2 linked regions of the Arabidopsis thaliana genome follow. The protein of the gene in region 1 interacts with the protein of each later gene in a pairwise test. Each region holds a gene or a part of one and is shown in the gene's direction. Other genes may lie near its edges.

Region 1 (7,324 bases):
AGTGTTCAATTACTGGGAGCCTCTTCATTATATTCTCTACAAGTCCGGATTTCAGACCTGGGAATACAGGTTTGCTTTTCCGCTACATTTGATTATGTTACTACTGAGCTAAAGACCCGATGTTAGCTCGAGTGAGCATGTACTTTGAGCTGTGATTCTATACTTATGTATCGGTGACTACTGATTCTCAACATTTTGTTTCAATTTGAAATCAGAAATGTGAGGTTGGGATTTGGTTTTAGTGGAACTTCGGTTTCAACGGAATCTTTATTAGGTTATCGAGCTTTGTTTTATATGAAGATATAATCATGAGATTGATTACTTTTTTTTTTTTTGTGTGTGTGTGTGTGTGTATTTTGCAGTTCCAACTTTGCTCTTCGGTCGTACTTATACATTCTATTCCATGAATTGGCTGGACGGCCTGCTTCTTGGTGGTTTGGTGATGACAAGGTAAGCAATGCATACTTACTGATGTACATTCTAATCGGTATAGATATAACTGCATGTTTCTTATCCAGTTTACGTCTATCTTTTGGATAGGTTAGAGTTTTCTATGCAGTGAGACTCTTTCTCGGACTGGTTTCTGCAGTTTCAGATACTGTCCTGGTTGTTGCGCTCTCCAGAAAGTATGGGAAACGTATCGCTACCTATGCAGTTGCGATGCTCTGCTTAACCAGTGGCTGCTTCTTTGCTAGTACCAGTGAGTGTTTTGTTTTGTTTTGATTTGTTGTTACACTTGCTTAAGCTTTCTGTCATATTTCCTTAATATGCATATATAGGCTTTCCAAGTTATTCTTGCATCCGATAGGTTTTAGTTTCAAATGCTTGTATAAGTTATTCCAAAGACATTGCTCTGAATTTGGCTTTGTGTTCTGGTTTCTTACTAATTCATGTTTCTCTAAAATTTTGATAGGTTTCCTCCCCAGTTCATTTTCTATGTACGCCATAAGCCTCTCATCTGGTTTATTACTTTTCGAGAAGTATGCCATGGCTGTTGCAGTTTCGGTTGTCGGGGTGATTCTTGGCTGGCCATTTTCTATCTTGGCCTTTTTACCTGTCGTTATTTACTCTCTGGTTAAGAGATTCAAGCAAGCATTTATCGCTGGTGCAGTCACCACTATATTTCTCCTTGTAAGCTAACACCAATCCTAGATGCTTTGTCTGTGTGAATTTTATGGGAATTATTGGATCTCGCTGACTTTCATTAGCACCTGTAACTTTAAATTACTATTTTCTCTTCTAATTAGTTTTGTCTCTTTTCTAGGGAGTCTCACTACTTGTGGATTACTATTATTACAAGAGATGGACATCATCAGTTTTGAATCTCTTGATATACAATGTGTTAGGGGGTGGAGAGAGCCATCTCTATGGGACTGAAGGAGCGTTATTTTATATAAGAAATGGATTTAACAACTTCAACTTCTGTTTCATTTTGGCAATGTTGTTTGTCGCAATATATCCTGTTATCAGAAGGAAGTATGACCGTGCCCTGCTGGTTGTGATTTCCCCGATGTATATTTGGCTGGCGTTCATGTCACTTCAGCCCCACAAAGAAGAAAGGTGATTTTCTAAGATCTTTCATCTTGTAATTTTTTGAGCATTCGTATGGTGGCTTCTATATCGTTGAGGAAACCAGTTTTATGATACTTTTACAAAATCACGGTATTCAACAAACAATGTTTTTGATTGTCAATTAATTGACTGCAGGTTCCTTTATCCTATATACCCTCTTATTTGTGTCTCTGCTTCTGCTGTTATTGAGAACATCCCTGAGCTGTTCCGGGAAAAGTATAGCTCACGTGAAAGTCTTCTGGTGACAGTAAGTTCCAACTTACAATATCTCAGTCTCTGATTTATACCTTTCCGCAAATTGAAAAGAAGTAGATTGTACGATTCTCACATATCTGTTTAATACGCAGATAACCAAATACATGCGACCTGTGATTCTTGGTTGTATCTTATGTGCTTCACATTCTCGCACATTTGCTCTTATTAATGGCTATTCCGCTCCCTTGGAGGTCTACAAACTACTGGAGCATCATGATGATGCAGGACCAGGTATATCCAATTCGAACTGAACTTCTTGATCATTATAATGCTAAGACGAGTGAAGATCACATCTCACTTTTACTTCAAGAATAGTAATTTGCCATTGGAAAAAGGGTAACAAAGTCCTTTTGACAAAAGTTTTCTAATCACTGATGACTTCTTGGTTGGTTTTGTATGTCAGGTTCTGTTCTATGTGTGGGAAGTGAATGGCATCGATACCCATCATCGTTTTTTGTGCCCCACTACATTAGCGAAGTACGGTGGATCGATGATGGATTCCGCGGTCTTCTTCCATTCCCATTTAACAATACACTTGGAGGCACTTCAGCATCACCTCCATACTTCAACAACAAGAACCAAGCATCCGAAGAACAATATGTAATACTCACACACTCTTCTCTCATGAAACCTTCAAAATATCTCTAAACATAAACTTAATCATGGCTTGTTTACTCGTTCCATTTTTTCCAGTTAAAGAACATCGAAACTTGTACATTCCTCATTGAGTTGCAGCTTAGCAGACCGTATCAGTATCGAGGCAGCGACTTATCTACATGGGAGGTATAGGAATCAAACCATCTTCCTGAAACAGAATCCATCTTTGATTTCACTTCACTTCTTCAATTGGTTGTTTTGACCCTTTTTTCAGGCTATTGCGGTGTTGCCTTATTTGGACAGAGAGCTGTCGCCAGCTAAGTATAGATCGTTCTTCATCCCGCACATGTGGCAGGAGAAAAATGTGTTTGGCAAATACGTAGCACTGAGAAGAGTCCCAAAATGATCACAAATCGTTAAAACTCCTTAGACTTGTAGCTTTAACTCAGTTCATTGGGTAGTTTTGGGAGAATGTAATAACTAATAACTGATTAGTATCGGCTTTAAGTTCAGGTACGTTCACGGTTCGTAGTTGTGTTGTTGTGAAAGAGACTAGTTTTAACTTTGTAAGAAATCTCCAAATGGTCAGAAGAACGTGGAAGATTATGTTTATGACATTATTGTGCAAAGTCTATATTCTTTTTGTCTTTTGATATTGCGGATTCCAATTTTGGCTATCGAGAAAAAGGGAGAAAATGAGAAGACTATGGAGGGCACTTCATAATTCATATTTCTGTCCTCTTTAAGTTAGCGTTTGACCAACGCGTCGTAAAAAGGTACAGAAGAAGAACGCAATAGAATTGAAGATAATGAACTAAAAAAGTTGTGTATATATATTGTAAAAGATTATCTTTGAAGAAAAGAATAACCTAAACAAGGTATTAATTTTTCTAAAAATTTGATCGAGTCATCGAGATCATGGTAGGTATATTGACGTTTGTAATAATGTTGTCACTATGTTACCACCAGACTAATAAATAGTGCATGTCGTTTACAAAACTAAGAAAAGATTATTTTCTTAGTAGTTTTCAATCATGGTTAAAAAAGTATTTGAATATGGAAATTATTCTTAAAAAAATTGAATATGAATATGGAAGAGAACTTACAGAAAATTATTTACTAAATGTATTCCTTACATATTTCATGTAATTATATATTTTTACTAGCATAAAAGCATCAATTTATTTCCGTAAAGGAAAAAAAGAAAGAATTAAAAGGATCAAAGGGGCACGAAACTAGAGACGACGAAGCGTACTCGATTATTATCAGCCTTTGGTAGCTTCGTTCTCTCTCAAAAACCCTAACTTCTCTGTGACGATCGAATCCGATAGCGTGCGATAATGGCCAATAGTAATCTTCCCCGACGAATCATCAAGGTTAGTTTTCCGATCCTCTGTAGCATCCTCCGATCCGTATCTCCCCTCAGTTTCATTTTGGGGAATTCTAATCTGAAATCCGAAGAAGGAACCGACGGATTATATACCTCAGCAGAACTGGGAAGAATTTTCGATAGCTTGTACGATCTTATATCATCTTCGTCATCTTGATCTGACTTTTTTTTGTTCTTCGATCTGATAGGAAACTCAACGTCTGCTTAGTGAACCTGGTAATTTCATCACTTCATTCGATCCTTGTTGATTTCTCACAGTTGATTTTAGCTCAAACAGTTGGTTTTGGTAGCTGGAACTATTGATTTTAATTCTAAGTTGTATATCTTTCGAAATTGCAGCTCCTGGGATAAGTGCGTCTCCATCAGAGGAAAATATGAGATATTTCAATGTTATGATTCTTGGTCCTACTCAATCTCCTTATGAAGGTAGTCAAATTGTTTTAATCTCCCAAAGATGCTCATCGTTACTTCTTCCTTTTTCTTCTTTAATGCATGCTGCTCAACGATTTATCGTTATCGTTTCTGCTGCAAGTAGTGACTCTGCTCTGTCTCTATATTTGTTTATACAAACGGATATGTTCGTTTAGGTACTACTAGGTCTCATAGATTGCTCATGTTCGGATTGTAGTGTTATGAATAACGATGAGTCTTTAAGCTACCTTTGAGTTCATTTCGACACATTTTATTTGTTCTAGAATACACAATGCCAAGTCGAATTTCCAGAATCAAGTCTGCTGTTTTATCTATCATCATATTTCTGTTAATTGATGTTTACCAATAATTTTGTTTCCTTCTCAATCTGTAGGAGGAGTTTTCAAGTTGGAGCTCTTTTTGCCTGAAGAATATCCTATGGCAGCTCCCAAGGTAAGTTGCTTCAACTTTTGTGTGTTTTTCTTCTTTCATTTCATGTTTCACTTGTTTTGGTAACATTAGGATTACCCCACATAACATTGTTAAGTGGAGGTAAATGCTCTTTAAGTGAATGTCTCTCTACTCTTAACACTAGGATTTTATTTATGGGTTTATGAGATTGGTGATTTTGGTTTTGTTATGACTACTCCGAATGTATTTTCTTATATTATATTAGACAACGTATCCAAGTTTCTTCATTGATGTAGAGTTTATGGGTCTTATTGATGATATCATTTGAAACACAGGTTAGGTTTCTCACCAAGATTTACCATCCTAACATCGACAAGGTCTGTTGTGAAAAATTTCCTTTTCTTCTCTTACTGTCAAGATAACTAACCAAACACATGGTCTTTTATACTTATGGATCATGTTTTGTTTGCACTTATCATGTATATATAGCTTGGAAGAATCTGCCTTGACATACTGAAAGACAAGTGGAGTCCTGCACTACAAATACGAACTGTGCTCTTGAGGTATGAATATATCCATAGAATCTTCTTTCCCTACTAAATCCAAAATATTGTAGAAATTAAGATTTAATTATTCACACTTTCTGATTTTCCATTGCCGTGTAAAAACAGTATCCAAGCTCTTTTAAGTGCACCAAACCCAGATGATCCTCTGTCTGAGAACATAGCTAAGCATTGGAAGAGCAATGAGGCAGAAGCTGTGGAAACAGGTGATAAAATACGATCGAAAAACTCAAAAAAGTTGCAACAAAAACTTTATTCCTCTCCTCTCTAATCTGGTAATCTCATATCAATGTGAACTTATGCAGCTAAGGAATGGACTCGTCTTTACGCAAGTGGTGCTTAAAGAAGACTGCAAATGGAGAAAGATCATTGTCATTTAAATAACATTATATATGGTGAAACTCTATCTCAAGGTTTTATCTGAATCCTTTTTCTGAAAACAGAGGAAAAAGATTTGTACTCTCTGAATTTGTATAACTAGGGGGATCTAAGACTCGTTTACCCATATCTGGAATCTAACTTTCTTCAATTGTGCTTGCTTTTGATCTTTGTTTTTGTTATATATGCTCTATAATAATCTTTATAAAGTGGTGTAGATAATCAGATTTTCACAGGTTGTGAATCAAAGTAAATTGGATGAATGATGCATAATGTTACTATTACAGGTGTATGAAGCAGCTTATTTTGGTCAAATGTAAAAAAAAAAAAAAGTGGTAAAAATAGTAGTCACGAGGAATGAGACTTGAGATTTTGAAAAATGGGCATAATCAGAAACTTGACTCGTCAGTTGATGGACGCCTCAAGAAGTACCTCAGACTATTAGCAAGGACCTACAAATACAAAATTTGATTTCATTTCAGTAAAAACATTTCAACTTATCAAAGAGAAAAGTCTAATTTCAGAATTTTAACCTGCTGGAGAGGCTTGATTAGGGCTTTGTTCCTGTAGCTTACATGAAACTTCACCTTAGCCAACAAACCCTTTTTGTTTCACATACAACAAGAAGAAGCAACATGAGAAACAGAGCGATATTATAGCGGAGGGTATATGTTTTAGACATTAAAAAACAGGATTATTAGATACCTCGGTGTCGAATTCTCCAGATTCAACAGCGACGCTGATATCTGAAATGATCTTCACCAGCTCAACTAATAGTCCAGGTCTATCCGCTGATTCTATGAAGAGTAAACTGCATCATCAACAAATAATTATGGATCAATGATCAGATCATATATCATAAGAATAAAAGCATTTGGATAAGGTTCTAGAGTTGAGATAAGGTATGGGTATACATTACCTGCGGTCTGGTCCATCATCTTCAATGGTTATATGTGTTGCTATGTCCACGTCAATCTGTCAACATCCCAATCCAAAATACAGAAGAAGGAAAATGAATTTTGAAGCTACTTTGAAGTTGCGTGGGTATTCCCTTCTTCATCAAAGTGATTAATACTATAATGAAGTTTAATACTTGTACTCTACATTGACCCGCCAAATCCAAATATGTTGATTATTAGTTAAGTCTTTGTTTTCTCTATTATTGTTTCTTATCTGTACGTGACCGAGGAAACGACAAGCAGTCTTGACCTTTATGTTCGAGGATGCTAACTACTTGAAGAATTAGTGCAATACAAAAGAAGTGGATAAGGTTATAAAAAGAGCATCACAGTTTAAGGTTTTTACCGGTTCAGTTGGAGGAAGAACACCAAAAGCTGCTCCCATTGCCAACTGAGAACTTGATTCCTGATCCAAATCATCGAGAAGCAATGTGTGAGTTAAAAAATTATGCAAGATATAGGAAAAATAGAAAGAGAGGATATTAGGATGTGAAGTAGTTACAGGATGAAACTCAAGCAGATTGTTTATGACTGTGAGACGAATGGCCTCAAGCAATTCAGGGTCTTCTACTTTTCTTCCACTATCTCTGTTGTAACAACAATTACAGTCAGCTCAAAACTCAATCTAAAGTCAACTATTTGACAGAGTCAATCGATTCAAAGCAACATTAACTATCTAAACGACTCTTGGAGCTCAAAATACTCTTTGATGATATGAAAAGACATACGCTCTAGTAATGGCAAATTTGTTGTGCTTGCCGGAAGAATCAAGGTAAACATTTGCCTTG
Region 2 (6,997 bases), on another chromosome or scaffold:
GATGACTCAAACCAACTTGATCCGTCGCTCCTGGATGAGCTACTTGCAAATATATCCACCTTGTCCTCTGTGTATCACAAGCCGCCAGAGGCTTTTGTAACCCGCTTGAAAACCACAGTTCAGAAAACGGAGGATGAGGATTATGTAGAAGGGAGCGAAACAGGATATCCCGAGGCATCTGGTAATCCGGTTGATGGTGCAGCTTCCCCGTCAGCTACCACAGGCTATGTCACAAAGCTAGCTGCTGCCCCAGCTCCTGTACCCGATCTGCTAGGTGACCTAATGGGGTCAGATAATGCTGCAATCGTCCCTGTAGATGAACCCACAACTCCGTCAGGGTGAGTTTTGAATGGTGAAAATTACATTAAAAGTCTCTCTCACAGTTGGGGTGTGCGATGGACTGGTTTTATTCAATCATATCTATTTGGATCACCTTGTTGTTTATAAAACTCATTGAATCACCTAATATTGTTTGCAGTCGTCCACTGCCTGTTGTCCTACCAGCATCAAAGGGTCAAGGTCTGCAGATTAGCGCTCAATTAACCCGACAAGATGGTCAAGTATTCTACAGTATGCTCCTCGAGAACAACTCGCAGTCACTTCTTGATGGCTTCATGATTCAGTTCAACAAAAACTCATTCGGCCTTGCAGCTGTCGGATCACTTCAGGTAATAGTAGTTGGATATGCTCTACATCTACGCCTATTATATATCCTGGATTCCTGAAACTGATGTCCAGGTTTTGTACTATTATAGGTTCCGCCTCTGCAACCCGGAGCATCTGCCAGGACAATGATGCCAATGGTATTGTCCCAAAACATGTCTACTGGCTCCACCAGCTCGGTATTGCAAGTTGCCGTCAAAAACAACCAGCAGCCTGTCTGGTACTTCGAGGATAAGATTGTACTTAACGCTCTTTTCTCAGAAGATGGTCGGATGGAGCGCGGAACCTTCCTCGAGGTAAAAGACTAATATATGATAAAGAGTTCATTAACAATACAGCACCATGTTAGTCATTGACTAATAGTGGAGAGGGCTTATGATATTAAGATGGGCGAGTAATTAGTGACAGATTTTGTGCCTTAAGAAGCCTGGGGGAGTTAGGGTGCTGTAGATCTTAACATATGATATGGTTTTCATCGATTTAAGTTTCTAGACTCAGTAAGAACTGAAGGAAGATATTGATTTCTGATCATAACTATATACCACAGTCTTAAAAACCAGTTCTTCTGAGTTATAAAACATTTGTTTTTTTGATTAGACATGGAAATCGTTACCGGATTCAAACGAGGTGCAGAAAGAATTCCCCGGGATAACCATCACGAGCGTGGAGTCAACACTTGATTTACTCGCCGCATCAAACATGTTCTTCATAGCAAAGCGTAAGAATGGGAACCAAGACGTCCTCTATCTTTCGGCCAAGGTACCAAGAGGCATACCGTTCCTGATCGAACTAACGGCCATAGTGGGTCAACCTGGTCTGAAATGTGCAGTCAAGACTCCAACCCCTGAGATCGCTCCTCTCTTCTTTGAAGCAGTCGAAATTCTCTTCAAGGCTTGATTTGATTTTACACTGCCCTAAGGTAAGCAAATTTCTTCTTTTAGTGTATGTAGTAAGTGAATTGTTGCCGACTTCTTGTTTCTAATTTTTGTGTTGGAACCCACTCGTTTTTTTATTCTCGTAAGAGCTTTGATTTTTGATGTTGTCGTTGCGTATATGCCCCAAAAGGTTTTTGATTAAACTAGTGTGATAATGACTTATTATCAGCAAATGCTATTTTTAGTGTTCAGTGACCGACATGAAATCAAAAAGTTTCCTAAGTGGAGCGAAGAGATTCGTACACGTAAACCAGTTGAGAATTTGGTACCTTCTTCACAACAGATAGGCGTAGATAGATAGATACTGGGCCCGTAATGCGACGTAGCAATTTCCTAATATCAATATCAATCATGATTTCCTGTAACATGCGGTTACAAAATAGCTTCGTCGAAACTAATCTTCTTTTAATTATCGATTGATTATTAAATCAATTCAAAACCAAAACTAATTGAAAATTTTAAAGCTTGAGGGGGACTAATAGTAACGTGAGATTGAAGTAATGCCACCGAATATAAGGGTTGAGTAAGGGCGCTACACGCCATCACATAAAAGGGATTATACTATCAATCAACTAATATTTTTGTAACTTAAAATGAAATACCAAAGTTTCGACATTATTGGTTTATGAAAGCTCACCATTGTATTTTAATTTGATCAAAACTATACATTTTAGTTGAGACCGTAAGTACAACAAAGGTCCAAGCTTGAAAATACTTTTTTAGACAATTTTATCATTTACTAAATAGAATAATTATTATTTGTCCCCACCAAGGGTTTATACTTTATATCAGTTTATCTGTAGATAATGTTTTAAATCTGTTCATATCCAATATTTTACTAAATATAAAAAAATTGTTTTTCTGGTTAATCAGTTTTTAATTTTATTTTGAACCAAAAGTATGAATCATAATTTTTAGATTTAAGATACTATAAGTAGTGCAATCATTAATTTAAAACTTGCTTATATAGTTATAACTTATATGGTTAATATTGTATATCCCATAAAATAATACTAATTACCTTGGTGGTCAAATCATGAAAATCTTATTATAAAAGGGCTAATGGGAAATATTCTTAAGAAAATCCAGAGTTTCCTTGTACGATATGGTTTGTGATTAATGAATATAAATACAAAAAAGTTTGATTAACAACCAAAATAACAATTAAAGTAAAGAAAATTGTGATCCCTTGATTTTATCTCTCTGATAAAGTCGCCTCTTTCGTCGCAGCTAGTCTTCTTCGTCGCCATCAGAAAATTCTCATTCAACACAAAACCTCAAAAAGTTTTCCCAGAAATCCTATCAAAAGAAGGACTATATCAAGCTTCTGTTTCTGTTTTTTAGGTAACTAATGATTTTTTTCTTCTCCGTTACAAAAGTCACTTTATATTTTTGTTTTGTAGGATCACTAACTCTGTTTGTGAGGTTCTTCTTTTCTGTTTTCGTTTGTTCTGTTTGGTTGTTCTGAGATTTTTTTTTTTTTTTTTTTTACTTCTGTTTCAGCCCACTTTTTTAGTTTCCAGGTTTTACTGTTTTTTATTTTTTTAACCACTCTGTTTTCAGTTCTTCGTCTATTAGGGTTTGGTAACTAATAGTATCTCTGTTATGGTAAACCAAGTTTTTTTTTTCATTTGAAAGCTCAAGATGTTCTTAGGATCATATGATTTTCCATGAGTATTCAACATGAAATTTACTTTCTTCATAATGAACCTCATAAGTACACGAGAGTCTTTAATCTTATATTTGTCATCACAATGGATACACATATTTGTATTGCTTTAATCTCTGTGACTATTATTCTCTCATTGTTAGTGTATAGTTAGCTATGTTACATTGAAGTACTTGTGGTGTTTGAGTTTGGTTTTCCAGTTACTTAGTATGATCACAGAGCTAGATTTTGCCTCCCATTAGAGTTTCAATTAGGAGTCTTATGAATTTTTTCTGGATACTACAGGTCTTTTGGTAACCTAAAGAGCTGCTATACACTGATCTGAGAACTGTCAAAACTTTATCATACCAAAGAATGGGTTGCTGCTGTTGTCTCCCGAGTATACCCGAAGTAAAGCCTCTACGTCTTTCTTGTTTGCAGCCTTTTTGGGTTTTGGTTTTTGTTTTCTTATGTTTTATTGTTTTCTGTAGAGCTCAAGAACTATAGATGAGCATCTTCCCTTATCTCGTGCCACGCCTTCCTCTCTCTCTAATGCATACAGTTCACCTCTTTCGCCGCCTATTCCTTTAGCCATCACGAATATAAATCTTCAAACTAGTCCACCGAAATTGCCAAGAACTCAGGGCAATTCGAGTGAAGCATCCCCGGGACTCACACAAGTTGTTCCAGAGAAGAAAACATGGCATGTTGATGATCTAACTGATTTTGAGCTAAAGAAACAGTATCGAGAAGCAATCGATGAATGTCCAATTTGCTTAGAAGGTATTTTGTTTATCATTCAAAGTTACATGTTAAATATAACATTTTGGTAAATATCTTCATCTTGTTTGTTTGCAGAATATGAGATTGATAACCCGAAATTGCTCACTAAATGTGGCCATGACTTTCATCTCGCTTGCATTCTTGCATGGATGGAAAGAAGCGAGGCGTGTCCAGTTTGCGATAAGGTTTGTGTCCGTTTAAAATCCGCCATTTTCACAATACATTTTGAACTTCTTGAGTCACTAGAATCTGTTTTGACAATAGAGTCTACTTTTTGGGTATTCTTTTCACAGGAATTAGTGCTCACTGAATCATAATCGTGAACAAGAAACCAATAGCTCGGAACAAGAAGTGCGAAAAACGGTACAGAAGATTTGATATAAACAGGCATTAGGACTTACTCTGGTGGTATGATGAACATTGTTGCTCTCTACTACATTCAGAAGCTTTCACTTCCTTTTGATGATATACAGAAATTAGATTTGATTGTTTAATATTCTTTGAAAAACTCTTATGTTTAAGATTTGTTTCTGAATCTGAATTAATTCGAGAAAAGTTGAAGAACAGTTTTAGAAGAGCCTGAAAATTCAGAGATTTTACTGTGATAAAAAAGGATTCTCTGACAAATTTCTTAGATAACAGTTTTTTTTATTACTAAACCTTCTGTATAAATCTAACTCTTATGACTAAAATAATGATAATTAAAAAAAAACAAGAAACTCTAACCTTTATAACTTTTACAACAAGAAAGCCCTAAAAGCTTCTCTCTATTACGGTGAAGTGTTATGAATCTGATGAACATTGGATAAAAGCCTCGTTAACTTACTCAATGTCTCTCGAGCCGACACAGTCCCAGGATGATCCTCTCCTGAGATCGAAGTTCTTATGAAGATTGCTTTTCTGATCAAGTCATCAGCCAAACCAAATTGCCCGCCTCGTAACATCAGCTTAGCTCGAGTCTCTAGCACGGTGGCTCGAGCTAGAGCAAGTTCTTCCCATAGAATAGGGTTTAGTTGTGCACTTGTCTGAACTGGTCTCCAGCAAAGCGACTTGTCTAGCCATTTCTCTACTGGTGTCACTAGCGTTTGGTCAGCTGCTTCAAGTGCGTTTGTGCAGACCCTTAGTAGCTCCACTGAGGCTGTGCATCGCGAAAATGATATGAACGTTCTGATTGCAAGAGGCAAGATTACTTGTTTCACAAGAATCAGCAGCTCTGTTATCTTCAGCTGAATAGTCGGAGATTCGTTGCTAAAACCAAACAGCAAGAAACAAACCGCCCAGATCTGCTCTGCGGTTTCAACAGTCGAGCCGCGGCTTATCACCGCCTGAACCATTGCGGGAGCGTTTTCATTGACCAGTACTCGATTTCTCGCATAGAGTTTCACAAGCTCGTGGATCTGTATAAACCCTAGCTTGATGCTGCTGGTTCGAGCAATGTTGAATCTAAGTAGCATTGAAGCAGCTTCAGCTCCTGATCGTTTGGAGTTTGAAGACGTAAAACCGCAGGTTATAGCGCGCCTTAGTCTTCTCCATAGCCGCTTCGGACCTCTGTGTTTCTCAGGGAGTTTATGAGCAGCCAAAGCTAATAAAGAAGCTGGAACTGGTGCAGGAGCTAACCACCCACTAGCAACAACCATTCTCGTAGCCAAACTTCTAGGTCCATCCGCGTGATCAAAGATCGAAAAACAAACTTCAAACAGCTGCAACAGAAACGCATTTCTTCTCAACAGATTCCCCTCTCGACCACTACACACCATCTCTCTTAACGGCATTCTATTTATAGTATCCAAAAGCCGGCTCGGGTTTATAGGAAGCTCTGACAATATTGCTCCTACGACTGCTAATCCCAACGTTAACCGTCCGAGTTTATCTTCAATAGTTCTCAATGCATCCATTTCCGAAACCGGATAATCTTTAACATTCCCCTGCATCAACGACATAGCTTCAGCACCAGAGAGGTAAGAGAGTTTCAACGGCTCCATGTTCATAACTTGAGAGAGACGTGTAGATATCAAAATATGAGTCCCGCCTCCAAACCGAGGAAGAAGATCCATCACAAGCTTCGAATCCCACCAGTCTTTTTCACTCTCCAAGTTATCAATGACAACCAAGAACGGTATATTCCTCATCAGCTCTTTTCTAATCTTGGAAACCGCAGCATCTTCTTGCTCTTCGAAGCTCTTCATCCGCGTTTTATCCGAAGAATTCTCTATCCCGATGTCGACTTCCAAATACTGATAAAGATTCAGATAGTTCTGTCTTATGTAACGGCTCTCACCACCTATCCAAAGAACCATCTTATACCTTTGGTGATGCCTGTAAGCAAATTCAAGAAGCAGCTCAGTTTTTCCAATCCCTGATTCACCTGACACGCAAGCCACGCCTTTCCCGTAAACAACCTTCATCGACCGTTTTCTCCTCGTGTTTCGCCCTACTTTCACTTGACTCCGTGAAGGCATCTCTGTACTTTGCATCTCAATCTCTTTCTCTGACTCCTTCCACACAACTTTTTCCTTCCCTTTCTTCCGTCTTTCTTCCGCTGAACCGCTTTTATTCCACCCGAGCGTCACGTTCTTCTTCCTTCTTGTCGGCCTTGCCTTTAACTCAAAGTAATCCCTTTCAGAATCTCCAGCAACATCTCCAAATAAAACAAACTCTAGCTCAGATAACTCCTTCTTCCTCCCAACAAAACTCTCATTCCGCGGATACGGAAACTCCTCTTTCTCCGCTTTATCCCGCCATTTCGTTAACCGTTCCACTATACTTCTCCTCCCTAACCGCATTGCCAATAAAGTAACCGCCCTGAAAACACAATCTCTCCAGTTACCTTCATGAGCTTCAAGCTTCCAATCATCAACCCGCGATAGCCCGTGAACCGCCTCTTTCCATTCTTTCTCAATCCCACCATACAAAACCCACAATTCCCCTCCATGTTTCTCCCACAAATCTCCTCTCTTCTCAACTATAT

Evidence for each region. Proteins that work in one complex are often made in the same cells at the same time.
Region 2: the proteins of UBC36 (region 1) and AIRP1 interact in a two-hybrid assay, tested with the Arabidopsis thaliana proteins (one large-scale study listed by BioGRID).

What each region holds. Positions count from the first base shown.
Region 1 is NC_003070.9:5,774,768-5,782,091, reverse strand, and holds UBC36 (ubiquitin-conjugating enzyme 36), read left to right. Parts: upstream 1-3,607; 5' UTR 3,608-3,764; coding exon 3,765-3,800; exon of another isoform or gene 3,801-4,002; coding exon 4,003-4,057; intron 4,058-4,153; coding exon 4,154-4,240; intron 4,241-4,263; exon of another isoform or gene 4,264-4,619; coding exon 4,620-4,678; exon of another isoform or gene 4,679-4,971; coding exon 4,972-5,013; intron 5,014-5,125; coding exon 5,126-5,199; intron 5,200-5,307; coding exon 5,308-5,405; intron 5,406-5,504; coding exon 5,505-5,542; 3' UTR 5,543-5,915; downstream 5,916-7,324. Other genes in the region: EBS3 (Alg9-like mannosyltransferase family), read left to right, coding at 1-69, 363-450, 541-700, 914-1,131, 1,265-1,560, 1,708-1,819, 1,920-2,058, 2,231-2,427 and 2 more; ACR11 (uridylyltransferase-like protein), read right to left, coding at 5,967-6,029, 6,111-6,179, 6,283-6,388, 6,497-6,552, 6,883-6,942, 7,039-7,123, 7,265-7,324. UniProt on the Arabidopsis thaliana protein: Catalyzes the synthesis of non-canonical poly-ubiquitin chains that are linked through 'Lys-63'. This type of poly-ubiquitination does not lead to protein degradation by the proteasome. Mediates transcriptional activation of target genes.
Region 2 is NC_003075.7:12,238,462-12,245,458, reverse strand, and holds AIRP1 (RING/U-box superfamily protein), read left to right. Parts: upstream 1-2,752; 5' UTR 2,753-2,997; exon of another isoform or gene 2,998-3,023; intron 3,024-3,067; 5' UTR 3,068-3,268; coding exon 3,269-3,405; exon of another isoform or gene 3,406-3,593; coding exon 3,594-3,657; intron 3,658-3,737; coding exon 3,738-4,029; intron 4,030-4,104; coding exon 4,105-4,214; intron 4,215-4,322; coding exon 4,323-4,346; 3' UTR 4,347-4,655; downstream 4,656-6,997. Other genes in the region: AT4G23460 (Adaptin family protein), read left to right, coding at 1-338, 479-668, 756-959, 1,261-1,560; AT4G23440 (Disease resistance protein (TIR-NBS class)), read right to left, coding at 4,800-6,997. UniProt on the Arabidopsis thaliana protein: Possesses E3 ubiquitin-protein ligase activity in vitro when associated with the E2 enzyme UBC8 in vitro. Plays combinatory roles with AIRP2 in the positive regulation of the abscisic acid-mediated drought stress response.